3 linked regions of the Arabidopsis thaliana genome follow. Each later gene encodes a partner of the first gene's protein in a complex. Each region holds a gene or a part of one and is shown in the gene's direction. Other genes may lie near its edges. The genes, in order: AT4G22720, AT5G26110 and AT5G53045.

Evidence for each region.
Region 2: the proteins of AT4G22720 (region 1) and AT5G26110 are in contact, whole or in part, in a cryo-EM structure (PDB 8K20), measured with the Arabidopsis thaliana proteins. Residues at the interface, in NP_194003.1 of Arabidopsis thaliana: Glu147 (codon at 2,858), Arg149 (codon at 2,864), Arg151 (codon at 2,870), Phe194 (codon at 3,084), Lys202 (codon at 3,108), Gly203 (codon at 3,111), Tyr235 (codon at 3,207), Glu239 (codon at 3,323), Ala243 (codon at 3,335), Val246 (codon at 3,344), Glu247 (codon at 3,347), Glu250 (codon at 3,356), Arg251 (codon at 3,359), Ala254 (codon at 3,368), Arg272 (codon at 3,422), Met280 (codon at 3,446), Glu283 (codon at 3,455), Arg284 (codon at 3,458), Arg329 (codon at 3,593); in NP_001331017.1 of Arabidopsis thaliana: Ala19, Glu20, Lys41, Lys42, Tyr43, His45, Ile47, Leu48, Arg56, Gly158, Leu159, Val161, Asp168, Arg178, Arg218, Gly219, Lys221.
Region 3: the proteins of AT4G22720 (region 1) and AT5G53045 are in contact, whole or in part, in a cryo-EM structure (PDB 8K20), measured with the Arabidopsis thaliana proteins. Residues at the interface, in NP_194003.1 of Arabidopsis thaliana: Arg47 (codon at 2,558), Leu54 (codon at 2,579), Leu58 (codon at 2,591), Gln91 (codon at 2,690), Val92 (codon at 2,693), Ile95 (codon at 2,702), Arg98 (codon at 2,711), Val99 (codon at 2,714), Leu100 (codon at 2,717), Gln102 (codon at 2,723), Leu103 (codon at 2,726), Ile319 (codon at 3,563), Glu320 (codon at 3,566), Asp321 (codon at 3,569), Ser322 (codon at 3,572), Phe324 (codon at 3,578); in NP_850925.1 of Arabidopsis thaliana: Ile33 (codon at 3,159), Thr36 (codon at 3,168), Ser37 (codon at 3,171), Val40 (codon at 3,180), Asp41 (codon at 3,183), Lys42 (codon at 3,186), Ala78 (codon at 3,537), Asp81 (codon at 3,546), Val82 (codon at 3,549), Leu85 (codon at 3,558), Arg88 (codon at 3,567), Thr89 (codon at 3,570), Ile90 (codon at 3,573), Phe93 (codon at 3,582).

What each region holds. Positions count from the first base shown.
Region 1 is NC_003075.7:11,935,048-11,940,853, forward strand, and holds AT4G22720 (Actin-like ATPase superfamily protein), read left to right. Parts: upstream 1-1,894; 5' UTR 1,895-2,096; intron 2,097-2,393; 5' UTR 2,394-2,419; coding exon 2,420-2,977; intron 2,978-3,062; coding exon 3,063-3,218; intron 3,219-3,322; coding exon 3,323-3,670; 3' UTR 3,671-3,922; downstream 3,923-5,806. Other genes in the region: CYP706A2 (cytochrome P450, family 706, subfamily A, polypeptide 2), read left to right, coding at 1-1,571.
Region 2 is NC_003076.8:9,116,978-9,122,728, reverse strand, and holds AT5G26110 (Protein kinase superfamily protein), read left to right. Parts: upstream 1-2,887; 5' UTR 2,888-3,132; intron 3,133-3,264; exon of another isoform or gene 3,265-3,358; 5' UTR 3,359-3,376; coding exon 3,377-3,439; intron 3,440-3,510; coding exon 3,511-3,624; intron 3,625-3,726; coding exon 3,727-4,005; intron 4,006-4,085; coding exon 4,086-4,199; intron 4,200-4,295; coding exon 4,296-4,368; intron 4,369-4,452; coding exon 4,453-4,490; 3' UTR 4,491-4,822; downstream 4,823-5,751. Other genes in the region: ASD2 (alpha-L-arabinofuranosidase 2), read left to right, coding at 1-2, 86-142, 234-423, 499-636, 736-894; AT5G26100 (uncharacterized protein), read left to right, coding at 4,912-5,439.
Region 3 is NC_003076.8:21,507,475-21,512,198, reverse strand, and holds AT5G53045 (transcription factor), read left to right. Parts: upstream 1-2,589; 5' UTR 2,590-2,660; coding exon 2,661-2,716; intron 2,717-3,118; coding exon 3,119-3,191; intron 3,192-3,293; coding exon 3,294-3,349; intron 3,350-3,490; coding exon 3,491-3,596; 3' UTR 3,597-3,858; downstream 3,859-4,724. Other genes in the region: AT5G53050 (alpha/beta-Hydrolases superfamily protein), read left to right, coding at 233-286, 381-773, 1,274-1,361, 1,469-1,665; RKD4 (RWP-RK domain-containing protein), read left to right, coding at 4,251-4,405, 4,496-4,724.

The sequences.
Region 1 (5,806 bases):
CGTCGTCTAAGTCTAACATCAACCTCTCGCAGGTCCTCAACACTGAGGAGCCGTACAGCTCCGTGATGCTGGCCGTCGCTGCTCTCTTGGCCGTTGTATGCTACTTATGGATTCAGGGGAAGTCCAAGTCCAAAAAGGAACCTCCACTGCCTCCGGGACCTTGGCCACTTCCTATCGTCGGAAACCTCCCGTTCCTAAACTCTGACGTCCTCCACACGCAATTCCAAGCCCTAACCCTAAAATATGGCCCTCTCATGAAGATCCACCTCGGTTCCAAACTTGCGATCGTCGTCTCTTCCCCTGACATGGCTCGCGAGGTTCTCAAAACCCACGACATCACTTTCGCCAACCACGATCTCCCTGAAGTCGGAAAGATCAACACTTACGGTGGTGAAGACATCCTCTGGTCTCCTTACGGTACCCATTGGAGGAGACTTCGTAAGCTCTGCGTCATGAAGATGTTCACTACCCCAAGTCTCGAAGCTTCCTACTCCACTCGCCGGGAAGAAACCCGACAAACCATTGTCCACATGTCGGAAATGGCTCGTGAAGGATCACCAGTCAACCTCGGAGAGCAAATATTTCTTTCCATTTTCAACGTCGTGACAAGAATGATGTGGGGCGCCACTGTTGAAGGAGACGAGAGAACGAGCTTAGGAAACGAGCTCAAAACCCTAATATCTGATATCTCCGACATAGAAGGGATTCAAAACTACTCAGATTTCTTTCCGTTGTTCTCAAGATTCGATTTCCAAGGATTGGTTAAGCAGATGAAAGGCCATGTGAAGAAGCTTGATCTCTTGTTCGATAGAGTTATGGAGAGTCACGTCAAAATGGTGGGAAAGAAGAGCGAAGAAGAAGAAGATTTCTTGCAATACTTACTTAGAGTTAAAGATGATGATGAGAAAGCTCCTCTGTCCATGACTCATGTCAAGTCTCTCCTCATGGATATGGTTCTTGGTGGTGTCGACACATCGGTTAACGCATCCGAATTCGCCATGGCAGAGATTGTGAGCAGACCGGAAGTGTTAAACAAGATCCGACTAGAACTTGACCAAGTTGTTGGCAAAGACAACATCGTTGAGGAATCACATTTACCTAAGCTTCCTTACCTACAAGCGGTTATGAAAGAGACTCTTAGGCTTCACCCTACGCTTCCTCTTCTTGTTCCTCACAGAAACAGCGAAACCTCGGTGGTTGCGGGATACACTGTGCCTAAAGACTCCAAGATTTTCATCAACGTTTGGGCGATTCATAGAGATCCTAAGAATTGGGATGAACCAAACGAGTTCAAACCTGAGAGGTTTTTGGAGAATTCGCTTGATTTCAATGGAGGTGATTTTAAGTATTTGCCTTTTGGGTCAGGAAGGAGGATTTGTGCGGCGATAAACATGGCTGAGAGACTTGTTCTGTTCAACATTGCTTCACTTCTTCACTCTTTTGATTGGAAAGCTCCTCAAGGACAGAAGTTTGAGGTTGAAGAGAAGTTTGGTCTTGTTCTTAAGTTGAAGTCTCCACTTGTGGCTATTCCTGTTCCAAGGTTGTCCGATCCAAAACTCTACACAGCTTAAGTAAGAAGGATGTTGAATTGAGTTTTCTTGTTTAAAGTTTACTTTTCTTTATCTGTGTCTGGAGTTTTGATGCTTTGTATAAAAGATGTGTCAAGTTACATTTTTGATAACATTTAATATAACAAAGTTTTACTTACAATAATAACGCCTAATAGTCGATGCCAAAGCTATAAAACTATATTGTAGTTATATTTTTGGCAAGTCGATTAAAATTCTTGGGTCAACAAATTACAAATTAGTATGAAGGTTACAAATTAAAATTGTAATTATTTAAATTAATTAATGTATAATTATATCACAAATACTTCACGTCACACTAAATGAGTCCTTCTTAGCGGCAAAATATGCGTTATTGGGCTAGGCCCATTTATAAACGACGCCGTTTACACAGTCTAGAAACTCAACATCGTCGTTTCTCTCCCGGCGACTTTATCGCCGTCTTTTTCTTCTTTAAACTCTCTGGCTAATTTCGTTTTGCTTTGAGCTTGTGAGCTACTTCTGATTCCGGCCATCACGCAGCTTCAGGTTAGTTTTTGATTTAAATCAAACAACAGTACATGGGTTCAGTGTGTTGTGTCTCGAATGGAATTGGTTTCTGTGTTTAGATTAGGGTTTAGGGCTCTTTCATCTAAGGAAACGAAACCTAGGTTATACGAATCTCTTTGTTGGGTCTCTCTCAATACCAATACCAATCAACGAAAGGATTAATTTTGTTCATCATCTTCAACGTCTAAGGCTATAATTTGTGTTAGTTCAAATTGATTCAGAATAAAGTTTGGATTTTTACTTCACCTAGTCCTGAATTTGTTGTTCTCTGTGTAGAAAGTTTCTGTTTTTAAATCAAAGAAATGAAGAAGAAGATGATAGCCATTGGTTTCGAAGGATCAGCTAACAAGATTGGAGTTGGAATTGTGACTTTAGACGGTACTATCTTAGCAAATCCTCGGCATACGTATATAACACCACCTGGTCATGGTTTTCTTCCTAGAGAGACTGCACATCACCATCTTGACCATGTTCTTCCTTTAGTCAAATCAGCTTTAGAGACTTCTCAAGTTACTCCTGAAGAAATCGACTGTATTTGTTATACGAAAGGTCCCGGGATGGGAGCGCCGTTGCAGGTTTCAGCCATTGTTGTTAGAGTATTGTCACAGCTTTGGAAAAAGCCAATTGTTGCTGTGAATCATTGTGTGGCTCACATTGAGATGGGGAGAGTAGTTACTGGAGCTGATGATCCTGTTGTGTTGTATGTGAGTGGTGGTAACACTCAGGTGATTGCTTATAGTGAAGGTAGGTACCGGATTTTTGGTGAGACTATTGATATTGCTGTTGGTAATTGTTTGGATCGGTTTGCTAGAGTCTTGAAGCTTTCTAATGATCCAAGCCCTGGTTATAACATTGAACAGGTAGATTTCATTTGAAAGTAAAGTAAATTTGAATTCTTGAAAGATTCAAGAACAATGTTAACACGGTTTTTGGTGTTGTTACTAGCTTGCTAAGAAAGGAGAAAACTTTATTGATCTTCCGTATGCTGTTAAAGGTATGGATGTATCGTTCAGCGGAATCTTGAGTTATATCGAAACTACTGCAGAGGAGAAGCTCAAGAATAACGAGTGTACACCAGCAGACTTGTGTTATTCCCTTCAAGTAAGGCTATCACTTGGTTCTTAACTGATGAATTTTGTCACATGAATGCAAATTTTGGACTGTTTAAGAGTAATATCATGAATTCATGTTTGTTGATCTTGCAGGAGACGGTGTTTGCGATGTTGGTTGAGATCACAGAAAGAGCGATGGCGCATTGTGACAAGAAAGACGTTTTGATAGTTGGCGGTGTTGGGTGTAACGAGCGTTTGCAGGAAATGATGAGGACTATGTGCTCAGAACGTGATGGTAAGCTGTTTGCAACAGATGACCGTTACTGCATCGATAATGGAGCTATGATCGCTTACACAGGTCTACTCGCGTTTGTTAATGGTATTGAAACACCGATCGAAGACTCTACCTTTACACAACGATTTCGCACAGACGAGGTTCATGCGGTGTGGCGAGAGAAAGAAGCTGTACTACTTGGGGATAAGAAAGTTGCAGCGAATTGAGTCTGTCCCCATTTTTGTTCATTTTTCATCAAATTTGAGATTGAATCTCTCTCTACTCGATAAATTGGTTTTTGCTAAGTAGTTAAGACTTTTAAATGTGTTTTATTAGCCAAATTATATGATTGATATCTTTTGGTTTGAATGTAATAACACTTTCAAATTTCAAAGTGAGCTTTGTAAAAAGTTCAAATGTTTCTTGTGTTGCATTTCGCTATTTGTTTTATTGCTTTAATAAAAATATGATATCTCAAAGTCGACATTTCTACCGAGAATGGTGGAGAGATTAGTGCATTAGTCTTCCTTAATCATACAAAAACAACTGTGAAAATACAGCACTACTAAAAAGTAAAAAGTAAGAACTTTTTAATGTAGAACGTATGAGATGGTTCAATTAATCACAAGACACTTCTATGGCATTGCGTATTAAACGAAAAGTGAGTAAATAGAATTTATACATAATGATCTAATCTTGATCTTGCTAATAAAAATTGTAAAGGCAACAACAAGTTGTCAAAAATTTCAATTTGACGTAGAGATAAATTCTATCTAATAATTTTGTAAAAACATTCGAGATATAGTGTATCATTTTTCCATCATCTAGAACTCATTTGCGTATTTTCAAGTGTAAATCAGAACCTTGACACATAGGCTACACAAATTTTGGTCGATATTTATATTACTTTTGTAGCATAATGTGGATATCCTTCTAGAGACTAGAGTTCTAGATAAAACATTCATACATGTAACTATGTAAGTAAGCATGCATACTAAATATAAAATTTTCAAAAGTTTTAAAAGACATCATATAGATTCAAAAAGACGTGGGAAAAAGGAGAAAATGACAAAAGTTATTAGTAAAACAATCAAGTAAAAGGTCAAAGTAGTTAACGAAAAGATAAAAGTATTTCAAAAGTCTTCCTTCCATCTTGAAATGCCAAAAAATAAAAGACGAATGATTGAAGATAAATCAAAGTTGTCTGATTGCTATTGTATACATCTTTTTTTTTGTTAAAACTATTGTATACATCTAAAAAACCTTGAAGTAATCAAGATCTGAATTATAGCCGTTGATAAGGTTTTATGCTTTCACATTGAACTCGATCGTCGTCGTCAAATCTACTAGTCTCGTTTTTTAGTTTTAACGTGCTTAATTACTTCACTAATTTGTTTTTTGTTATCATTTTCACCAATTTTATTCATTGTGTGAATTAAGTTTTGTCCACATAGTAAGATTCATCAGTATAATAGGACATATGATAAAAGTTTGTATATAATCAAAGAGTATATCTAAGAATATCTAATTAAGATGAATGTTTCAGTCCACATTGGATTCTGCTTATAGTCAAACTGTCTTGTTCTTAAACCCAATTAGGTTAGAATACATGTACCAACAAATAGCATTTCTATAACTAATCTTTTATCAATTTACTTTATAGCCTACAAATAATTAGAGGAAAAGAAAAGAGAGTTAGTGGAATAATTGTCCTCTAAATCTCGATATCATCATTAACTAAATACTATATTTAGACCATATATACTATATTTTATAGTATACTATATTTTATAGTATATATAATCAACTAATCATATTAGACCACTATTAGAAATATGGATCTAAAAAAAACATTCTTTAATCAGTACTATTCTCATCCAAAGACTTGTTTTAAGAGACTAAATATGAATATGTGTATGTGTATGTGTATGCAGGAGTAGACACGTGCACGTGGCACATGCAGGGAATGGGAAGGTGGAGTGTTGACAAAGAAGAAGAGGATGATCCAAGTTTCGAAATGATTCCAAAAGTTATGAACTATAAGCCAAAGTGCTCAATCGCCAAACATGAACTTAAATAAACTTCACTCGTTAGATCGTTTTCTCACATTAAAGCCGCTCTACACTTTTACCCATTTTACCATTTATAATAACCACCACACATAGATATTAAGTTCTATGGATTTTATTCGTAAACTTAAGTTATGATCAAATAGCTAAATGATTTTGCGATTTGCCCGAGTTCTGTTTGTTTCTAAAATGGTTATCCAAAAAGCATATTTTTGTTTTATATAGAATTTGTGATATAGAAGAAATATACTAAAAATGTTTTAAAGTCTGTCTAAATCATAAACCAATGCAAAG
Region 2 (5,751 bases), on another chromosome or scaffold:
AGGTTTTTTTTTTCTCAAACCTCTATCTTCTTCTTTGGTTTTGAAAAGAAAAGTTAAAACACTCACTGTCATGTTTTTGTTGCAGTGACATTGTAGAAATGGTTAGCTATGCACCTCTCTTTGTCAACACAAACGATAGAAGGTATCTCTCACTTTAGTTTCAACGGTTTTTATCGGTATATCTTGAATGCGGTAATCAGAAACAAGCCCGTTGCTTTTGTTTTGTTTTTCAGGTGGATCCCTGATGCAATAGTTTTTAACTCGTCTCATCTATATGGAACTCCTAGCTATTGGGTCCAACACTTCTTCACCGAGTCAAGCGGAGCAACTCTTCTCAATTCTACACTTAAGGGAAAGACTTCTTCTGTTGAAGCATCTGCCATCTCTTTCCAAACCAATGGCAAAGATTACATACAGATCAAGGTTTGCTTATCTCCCATACGCACAAAACAAATGTCTAGAACCAAATGAATGTTCTGACCAAATATGAATACACAGGCTGTAAACTTTGGAGAACAATCAGTAAATCTAAAGGTAGCAGTGACAGGATTGATGGCAAAATTTTATGGATCCAAAAAGAAAGTACTTACATCTGCCAGTGTGATGGATGAGAACTCTTTTTCAAACCCAAATATGGTAAAACATATGAAGAATCAATCATACAAGAGTTAGGGCTTAGTATTGTTCTGAATCTTGAAAACGTTGCTAAGTTGTTTTCTCTGTTCTTTTCTGTAGATTGTGCCACAAGAAAGTTTGCTGGAGATGACTGAGCAGGAAGACCTTATGTTTGTTCTCCCGCCGCACTCGTTCTCTTCCTTCGATTTGTTGACAGAATCTGAAAATGTCATCAAGATGCCAATATCTGATTCATACAAGAAAACTTCAACAATGTGAAGAGAAACATCATCTTGGAGACTTTCATGTCTTTTGTCTTTACTCTTCAGTGGTTATTAAACACATAAACCTATATGTTCGTGAATAATACCAAAGTTAGTTGATTATAATCACGTTATGCCCTTAGATTACTTGATATGCAAGATTACTCTTCCTTGGTAAAAAAAAAACAATGGTAACACATTAGACCCTAAACAGTTCAGTCAAAGGAACTTACATTGTGTCGTCAAAATGCAGCTAAAAATAGCCCAAAGTTTAATTCTTTATTGTTTAAAATCCTTATCTAACAAACATTGCTTCTCACAGTTTCTTGTTTTTTTCTTTTCTTCAAACTATAATTAGAAAGACATCGAGAACATATCTTAATACTTGAGAAACTAAAATCCCCTAAATTCCAGCAATTTATCTGTCCTTTCAAAGCAATTTTAAGATTAAGAGAACCATAAAATTAAATTCCATTACTCTCACACAATTTTTGATTATATTATAACATTTTGTATGTTGGAGCAAGATGGCTCCCTTCATCGCCTTATTCACCGGCCTTTGTGGCTTCAAGAAAAACGCTCGGCCATTGGGAACGATTGAGACGATGTATCAGTCATCTCCTCGGGAGACCAAAGAAAGAGAACAAACAAATAATGACTTGCAGATCACGAAAAGTGATGACTTGTGGAACAAGGAAAGCGATGATCGAGATACTAATGCATTTAATGACGATAGTAATGAAGCGGACTCTGAGCTTCCGTTGCCTCCAGGAAGAAAAGGAACAATACGTGGAACATATTCGTGTAACAACATGGTGTTAAGAAGATCCTTGTCTACTAAGAAGAAACTGAGTGCGAGCCTAACGATCCAAATACCGAGATCATTGTCCATGGTCCTCAAACGTGACAAGGAGGAGGATAAATCTGTGAGGAAGAAGAAACTGAACGCAGATAATTCGATTCTGGTACTCCCAATTATACTTGGAGAGAGATGTAGGGTTCTTGATGCGGAAGAAGGAGATGAAGATCAAAGCCAAAGAATGGCAGAGAACAGAATATATCGTCCTAGATCCATGAGTTCGATCTCGATTTCGAGAACCAAGTCGAACATCGATATGAATGCTATTCCCGTAGAAGTAACATCAGAAGAACAAAAAATCTGATATTATGATGTCTAAAATGAACTAGCTTCATGGTGATTAGGGGTTAATTACTTAATTGTTAAATCTCATGAATCTGAGTGACATCATCGTGAAATATTTCGATGGAGAGTGATATCACCAATTTAGTTTGAAGGATCATGATAAAGAAAAGTACTCAATGACTTGGAAGCTTTTTTGAAACAAGTAGAGTTGTAATATAAATACCGGTTCACAAAAATGTAAACGAATTGATTTGGTTTCATATATAGACATATAGCTAAAGTGCATTTGGCTAAAGAATTTCACTATTAGACATTGTTTCAAATCATTAAAATTCACAAGCCAACATATTTGTCTTTTTTTAATACATGTAAAATTTATTCGAAAAAACGTTTTTACATCAAGTGCAACATTTGGTAAATAAATTGCGTACAAATTTCCAAGTTTTCATGGATCTATCTTCTATCTCATTGTTAACGAATAGAGGAGATCCAGTTTCAGACTTGTTTGTCGAGTTATCGAAGCAACTGTACGTGCTGGTGGTATTGGTGTCTCTCCAAATTATTAAACTCTCTAAGATGCATTCATTGTAATTTTTATTTTTTTTCTGATGAAGATAATTTTATATTCATCCAAAAAAAACTATCTAATTTGGGTAAAAATTGAGAATGACTTAAGGATTATTTAGAAAATAACTCAAAATGTATCAAATAGGGTTTTGGAAATTTTCCAAACCGAACGAACTAATCATAAACAATGCTGTTTCTGTTTTTCAATTCAAATTTGGATAAACCAAACAAAAACCGGTTCATGTTCTTATAATTTCGGTTTTTGATTCCGGTATGCACCTAGATAACCGGAATCAAATTAAAATTAAAAACCCTAGTTCCGACCTCGTCTTCATTGTTCACAAACGAGTCGCCGACGACAAACTCAGGCGAAAATTTCGCAGCTTCTCTTCCTCCGGCGGTGAAACACAGGTGAGCCGCGAGCCTTTCCGAAAGAGAAGCTTCTCTCTTTCCAACGAAAACAGGCGCCGCGAATATCTCTCTCTTCGTCTCATTCTCCGGCGAACACATACGAGCTCCTCTCCGTCACCACTCAGCTTGCAGGTTCAATTCGACGATAATCTTATGCAATTTAGAATTTTTGACCAACTTGGCAAGCTTGTTGTGTTAAATGATGAAAGGCAGATTTTTTGGTCAATGGTTGTTGATAACTGAAGTAGAGATCTTTAGTTGGAATAGACTTAAGCTAGAAGCGATTATTGTGTGGCCTTATTGCTAGAGCTTCAAAAACAATTGCTAAAGTCTCATTCTTTATGTTGGTTTTGTGTAGAATCCTGAGAAATTTAGAATGGATTGTGAGGAAAACGTTAGGGATGAATCACTCGTTTTGATTAAACAAGGAGCAGAAGCTGTAAGTGTCTCTGTGCGAATCTGTGTATATGTTTTTCTGTCAAGATTAAGTCTTTTCAGTTTTATCTATAGAGGGTGTTCGAGTCTACATTTGCTGGAAGAAGATCCATCGTGAAAGAACGTTTCTCGAAGAAATATAGACATCCGATTTTGGATGCAAAACTCACACTTAAACGCTTGAATGCGGTTGGTTTACTCCGCCTTTTTCTTGTTTCGTTGATGAAGTCATGAGAAAGAGAAGTAAAAATCGAGTATTTCATCTTATATGTGCTTATTTGTTGAATATAGGAAGCTAGGTGTATGACAAAGGCAAGAAAGCTCGGGGTTTGTACTCCAGTCCTATATGCTGTGGATACTCTGCTTCACTCTTTAACACTTGAGTACATTGAGGGGGTCTCTGTTAAGGATATTTTCCTTGAGTTTGGGACCAATGGGGTTGTTGAGGAACGTTTAGATGATGTTGCTGCTCAGATTGGGGCTGCAATTGCTAAGCTCCATGATGGTGGCTTGGCTCATGGTGATTTGACCACATCAAATATGTTAGTCAGAAGTGGAACAAATCAGCTGGTAAGTATCTTCAGAGGTTGTGATAAAGTTCTCTTGATTAGTTACTTATGATTCATGACCATGGATATGTCTTCCCTCAGGTACTAATTGATTTTGGCTTGAGCGTCACATCGACCTTGCCTGAAGACAAAGCTGTTGATTTATATGTACTTGAAAGAGCCTTACTCTCAATGCATTCGTCATGCGGGAATGTGGTAAGTGTGATGCAAATCATAACTTCACTACTTTTGCTGGGTCTGTTGTTGTTGTTGTTGTTGTTGTCTCACTGCGTATTTTGTTGTCAATTGTAGATGGATCGTATACTGACGGCGTATAGGAAGTCCTCAAAGCAATGGTCAGCCACGTTTAACAAGCTCGCACAAGGTTCTATCACACTCCTCTTCCACCTCCTCTTTTAAAACCAACTCTTCTTCAAACCTTTAGAAAGTCTTCTTTTGGTATATGCAGTGAGACAGCGAGGGAGAAAGCGGACTATGATTGGATGAGGCGATGAGCCAAGTTCTCCAGTGGTACTGTCCTTAAAACTTTGACCACAAAGCCACCCAAAATCTGTCCTGTATTATTATTCGATAGCGATCCAATTTGTCGATCAGTATTAAGGTATCAATGCTGAGATGTGTGATCGATTTTTTCAACCAGAAAACGATTATAGAACATATGTCAAGCAGGGCATTCTCATATAAGTACTTAAGAAAGCAACATTATTGATTACGGTTAGAAAGTTACTATATTTATCGATTATGTCAACGAACATATGACAAATAAAGAATGTTACAACACCATTATTACAAAACGTTTAACTACCTTTTATTTGAGCATATAACGGCTTCGTTCTCTAACCATTAACTTTTCATATATAACAAGAAAAAATAGATAAAACCTAAAAGTAATTTCAAAAAGAGTTAAATGGAAAACAAGTTGGTTCTTGGAGCCTTGTGTATATACCTTGTGTTACAAGGCACCTGCGGCGAGGAGAACAACCCTCTGATTAACCATTACGCTGATTACGAAACGATTCATCCTAGCGAATACTACAGCTCCGATTTCGAACTCAAAGACGGAACCAATGTGATCTTCGAAGCCATCAATGAATTGAAAGGGATCAAGAAACCAAAAGCAGGCTTTATGTGCAACTATGGCAAAAAACAATGGACAAGGTCTCTTCCGGGAGACATTTTCTACGCCAAGTTCTTCTTTTACAGCATTAATCCAAACGCAAAGGTCGTTCAACATTGCCATTTCCGGTCAAATTTGGGTTATGTTGATGCCTATATCAAGATAACCCCAGCGCTCGGACGAACATGTCCCGGTTACAGATGCGTTTTAGCGGTTAGACGTGAAGGTCTCTTGATGAAAGACACTAACGAACTCTTTCCTTGGACACCTTGGCCTCGCCGCCACATTCAACCTAAGTTGCCTAAGATCACCAATTGATTCCTCTGAATGATATTTTATGGGATTGGGTGTATACATATCTCTTCATCATTTTTTTTTTGTGATATATATACAGACATTGTTTAGTTCAGAAAACATCAATCAGAATTCAAAAGTTACTAGTGAAATGGGTTTTCTCCCCTAATATACAGATCCTATTTTCATTACGCCAATTGTTGAATTACTAGTAAATTCTGGAAACATATGTGTGTGCTGGTTTTATATCTTTGTACGATGTGAGAGTGTTATGATTTGTATGTGCATAAAATAAAGGAGACACAGAGATTTGTTAACGGGGTTCGGTTAACTACT
Region 3 (4,724 bases), on another chromosome or scaffold:
CAAAGTTTGGTGCTGTTTTCTCTATTCGGTTATAACAAAGTTGGTAGAGAAATCAAGTCATTGGTCTTGAAGATTTATGTTCTTTAGAATTGGTTGAGACTTGAGAGATCAACTCATTGGTCTTGAAGAATTATGGTAGTAGAGTAATTTGGTAACAAAATCTAAGGCTGGCGTATTACTGTCCAGATGAAACTTGTGAGTGATTATGTTCTCATGCTGTTTATATATGCAGGATTACCTAGAAGAATCTGTAGGAACTAATACAAGACGGGCAATTTTATATCAGGTGGGTTTACTGGTTATTATGCGAAGAAAATGACATATAAGCATATCACTAGTGAACGATTTAAGGTGACTTATATTTGAGTGATGCAATACAGCAATATGTAAAAGGAATATCAGAAACTGGAATGCAGTCCAAGTACGGGTTTGATGGCCAAATTAACGCTTGTTGGTTACACAAAATCACAAAAGTAGAGATTGAACTAATCCGCTCGGCTGGATTTCTTGTCTCAGTCATTCATGGAAGGTACGGAACACCAAAGAAATTAGAATCAAAGTCACCTTGTGCACTCAGTCTTGAGTTTGTTGATCTTGTAAAGCATCTTTACCTTTACACAGTAGTTAATGTGAGAATGTGTTGGGTTATATGCAGACATGATGTGATTGCTCAGATATGTTACGCAAGAAGACTGGCACAGAGGCTATATCCAGTCGCTAGAATGGTGGATCTTCATGGAGGTCATCTTGTAAGCCACGAGAGAACAGAAGAGGTACTTCTGTCTTATTTAGCTAGGTCTTAACTTCTCTGTCTCTCTTGCGTCTGATGAATGTAAGACTTAATAACTAAAGTCTTTGTCGCTCTTTAATCTCATCCAACCTGCAGTAAATGTTAATGAATGTCATACTCAGATTACTGTAACTTAACAGGAACAATATAAGACCGAAAGAGAATCAGACTATTCTGAAAATAAGAATAAGTTGACTATGAATATGATGAACTGATTTAATCGTATATGGAGAAACGTTTTAAAGGCAAACCTATTTGGAAAAACACTTGACTGCTGTAGCAACTGATCGAACATTGTAAGCGATTATACCGTTACTTATATCTCATTTTTACTTATGATAGAAGAAAACTATAAAGACTTACAGGCTTTGAAGTCTTTAAGGAACAACATTGCTACAATGTGGAAGAGGGATCACATTTTCCTTACTCATGTTGGTATTCTCAGAACCTCGAATAACATACCTTCTGGTCAATCAATTTCAGGTTAATAAAGCTCTGCTCGAGTTAATCAAGGCGTCAGAAATGAAGAAAATATCAACTGATTGGACTAACCTCACCATGGAAACACCTGGTATAGAAATACCCAATTTCCATTCTTTTAGACCATTCTTCTTCTTTGAAGATCGTTCTGAGACTAACATCAACATTCCGTTATTTGCTTGCTCTTCGAATTATTAGGTTATTTCAAGAGGAGACTAACATTGATTAGAAGCTCAACGGAAGGCAAGAATGTCGCCTCTCCTGCACATTTCATAGCGGAAAAGTTCCATGGCTTTCTACTTTTCCTCTTCGGGCTTCTGGTTTTGGCATTTGAGTATTCAAGAAGAGCTTTCAGGGCTGTAAACCCCGTCAAAGTTGGACCTTCTCTAACATAACAACAACCCTTCACATATCAATTTGTCGACCAAGTAAGCTCCTCACTGCTTAATTATATCAAAGATAGAACATTAACAACTAGATCTATCACAATCTGACGTCGTTCGACAGATATTTTCATACAAGCAATGAGCCAGTTCTTCAATGATCAAGCTGATGAGACATAAGGGCTTAAAGATATTATTGCTGCAAATAGAGGCTAAGAGAAGGAGACAGTGCTTTTACATGGATAGGTGATACAAACTGTTGATATATACACGTGTAGAGGATCATTACAACGTCACACTCCATGTCAAACATTTGTTCTACGAACATAATATGTAAAGATAAGACATCGAAATCTCAAATATAGACTCGTATGTTTTTGTGTACCTATGGAACATATATAACTGTTTTGTCTAGCCTAAAATCAAGAATTACAAGTCATATACAACTTGGAAAACAAACATTCCAGATTCCATGAATCTTTCAACATGTTTTTAATGTATCAAAGACATTCATGAAGGATAGCTTCTAGTTACGAAACAATATTTATTACAAGATCATGAACAAGCGAGCTAATTCAGAAACAAACACAGAATTATAAGAAAGAGATGAGAAGAGGACATGCCTGGAGCCTGGTACAGTGGTACTGCTTCTGTCTGAAACCACAGCTTAAAGCTTTTCTTTGGGTGAATGTCTGAATGATGTTATGTAGCTGAATTGTTTAATCTTCAGAATTAGAGATAGAGAAGAGATAGCGAAATGAGTAGACGAGATTCTAGTTTAGGCTCAAAGTAATATTCCTTCATGCAAGATATACTCTCCGAATATACCCTTCTCATACCTTTGTTTCCGGAAAAGGACATTCTCGTCAATTCGTCTCGCTATGAAAAGTCTTGGCCCTTGGGCTTCAAAAAATGAGGCCCGTTTTGTAGCCCACTCAAATTCTGCTTCTCTGCTTAAGGTTTTCCCCAAAACCTCCATTGACGCAGGAAGGAAGGAAGGAGCAAATATGGCTGCCACTGTTCCTGCAACTACTCGTTCTGATCAAACATGGGATTTTAGTTGGTATGTTCTGTAAATTCTCTTACTTTGCTTCTCTGATTTGGGAAAATTTCGATTCTTCTCTCTAATGATTCAGCTCTTTGTTTCAATTGTTCGTAACGTGTTTGTTCTGAATCTGAAATTAGAACATACGGATTCGATAATAAAAATCTTGGGTCTGATACATTTGAAGGAATAGACTCGAAAGTCTCGATCTTTGCCCACATAAACCAGGAATACGACCTAGTTAGTTCCATTGCTCAGCTCAATTAGGTTAATTTGAACTTCTAAGCATCCTTTGTAGTGCTTGGCTTAGTGTTGGACAACGATATTGAGGATTACACTGTTATAGACTTTAATAAATTTGGTATCTTTTCAATGAGAGTTGTTAGAGATTGATGTAACAGAGCTTTTGGTAATGTGCAGTAATTTGGATGTGAGTTTTGAATCAGAAGAACATGCTTTGATTGCTTATACATCATTGGCTGTTGATAAAGAGGTTTGAAATTTCTCAATTCACTTCCAACATATGAATACAATCTAATTTCCAACAAGCTTTTCACTGATGTTAGAGTTTCTTCTGTTGTGAACATTAATGCAGTTGCAGCCTGATAAGGTGAGAAGAGTTATGTCAGTATCAAACAACAAGCTTTCTGTGTGAGTTTCTTCAAGTCCTTCTTCGTCGTTGAATCACTTATCGATTTGAAACTGGCTTTAGTTAGACATCTCTTGTCCATAGAACCTTTTAGCTTACTTCTTACACTAGTTTTGATCTTTTCTCACTGGATAATTTTACAGGCACTTTGAAGCAATAGAGGCAAGGCTGCTTCGCGCTTCGTTCTCTGCATTTGTAGACGTTCTTACACTGGCCACAAGAACAATTCAAGAATTTGGTCAAAAGTAAAACACCAATATGAAGAGAAAAAAGCTTGATTCTTTCTCATTACTCTTCAAGAACTCAAAATTACATTGTGTTTTGGTGTTTCTTCTTCGAGCTCAAATCATCTTGGGGTTTTCACAGATTTATTCAAACAATGTACTCCCAAGATTATTATTGGGAGTATTATTATGTAGTGCGAACTCGATTTGAGAAGTGAAAAAAAGATGGTTACATTTAAAGCTTTTGATTTGACTACGTTTTCTTTGTTTCATTTACTAAGTAAATTATCACTTAGTGGAGACTCTCATTATCTCTTAATCATCTTCAACATCAAATGTATCTATCATCGTAACATATAACACGTGCATCATCTAATGCGATAATACACAAAAACTCAATTCATTTAATATCGATTGTGAATTTTTAGCAATATGATCTTATCAACTTTCATGCATTGACTTTGACTAGAGGAAGTAGAAAAAAATAATCGTCATCATCATTAAAGAAGCAACTAACCTACACACAATTCAGCCCCCGTGATCATATATACTTAATTAAAGTCACACGGTAATTAATTAAGATTAACATTTAATGATTTCTAATACGCTTTGGGACTCGTAACTCCCATTACATTGCAATCCCTATGAACATTCATCTTTGTTTTTACAGAGACTATATATGAGTTCGTCAAAACATTCCTCTGTTTTTAACTATTCTGCTCTGTTTCTATCACTGTTTCTTCAACAAATGGATCAGAACTCTCTTCATCATCTCGATTCTCCAAAAATCGAAAACGAGTATGAACCAGATTCGTTATACGACATGTTAGATAAGTAAGTTGGAAACCCTTTGATACTTTTTCTTGCTAAACAAGTTATCTCTCTTTTCTTTACTGTTTTTTCTCATTCGTTTTTGGTCTACAGGTTGCCTCCGCTTGATTCTCTCCTAGATATGGAAGATTTGAAACCAAATGCAGGGTTGCACTTTCAGTTCCATTACAATAGCTTTGAAGATTTCTTCGAAAACATTGAAGTGGATAACACAATTCCATCTGATATTCACTTGTTGACACAAGAGCCCTACTTCTCAAGTGACTCCTCTTCCTCTTCACCATTGGCTATCCAAAACGACGGTCTCATTTCCAACGTGAAA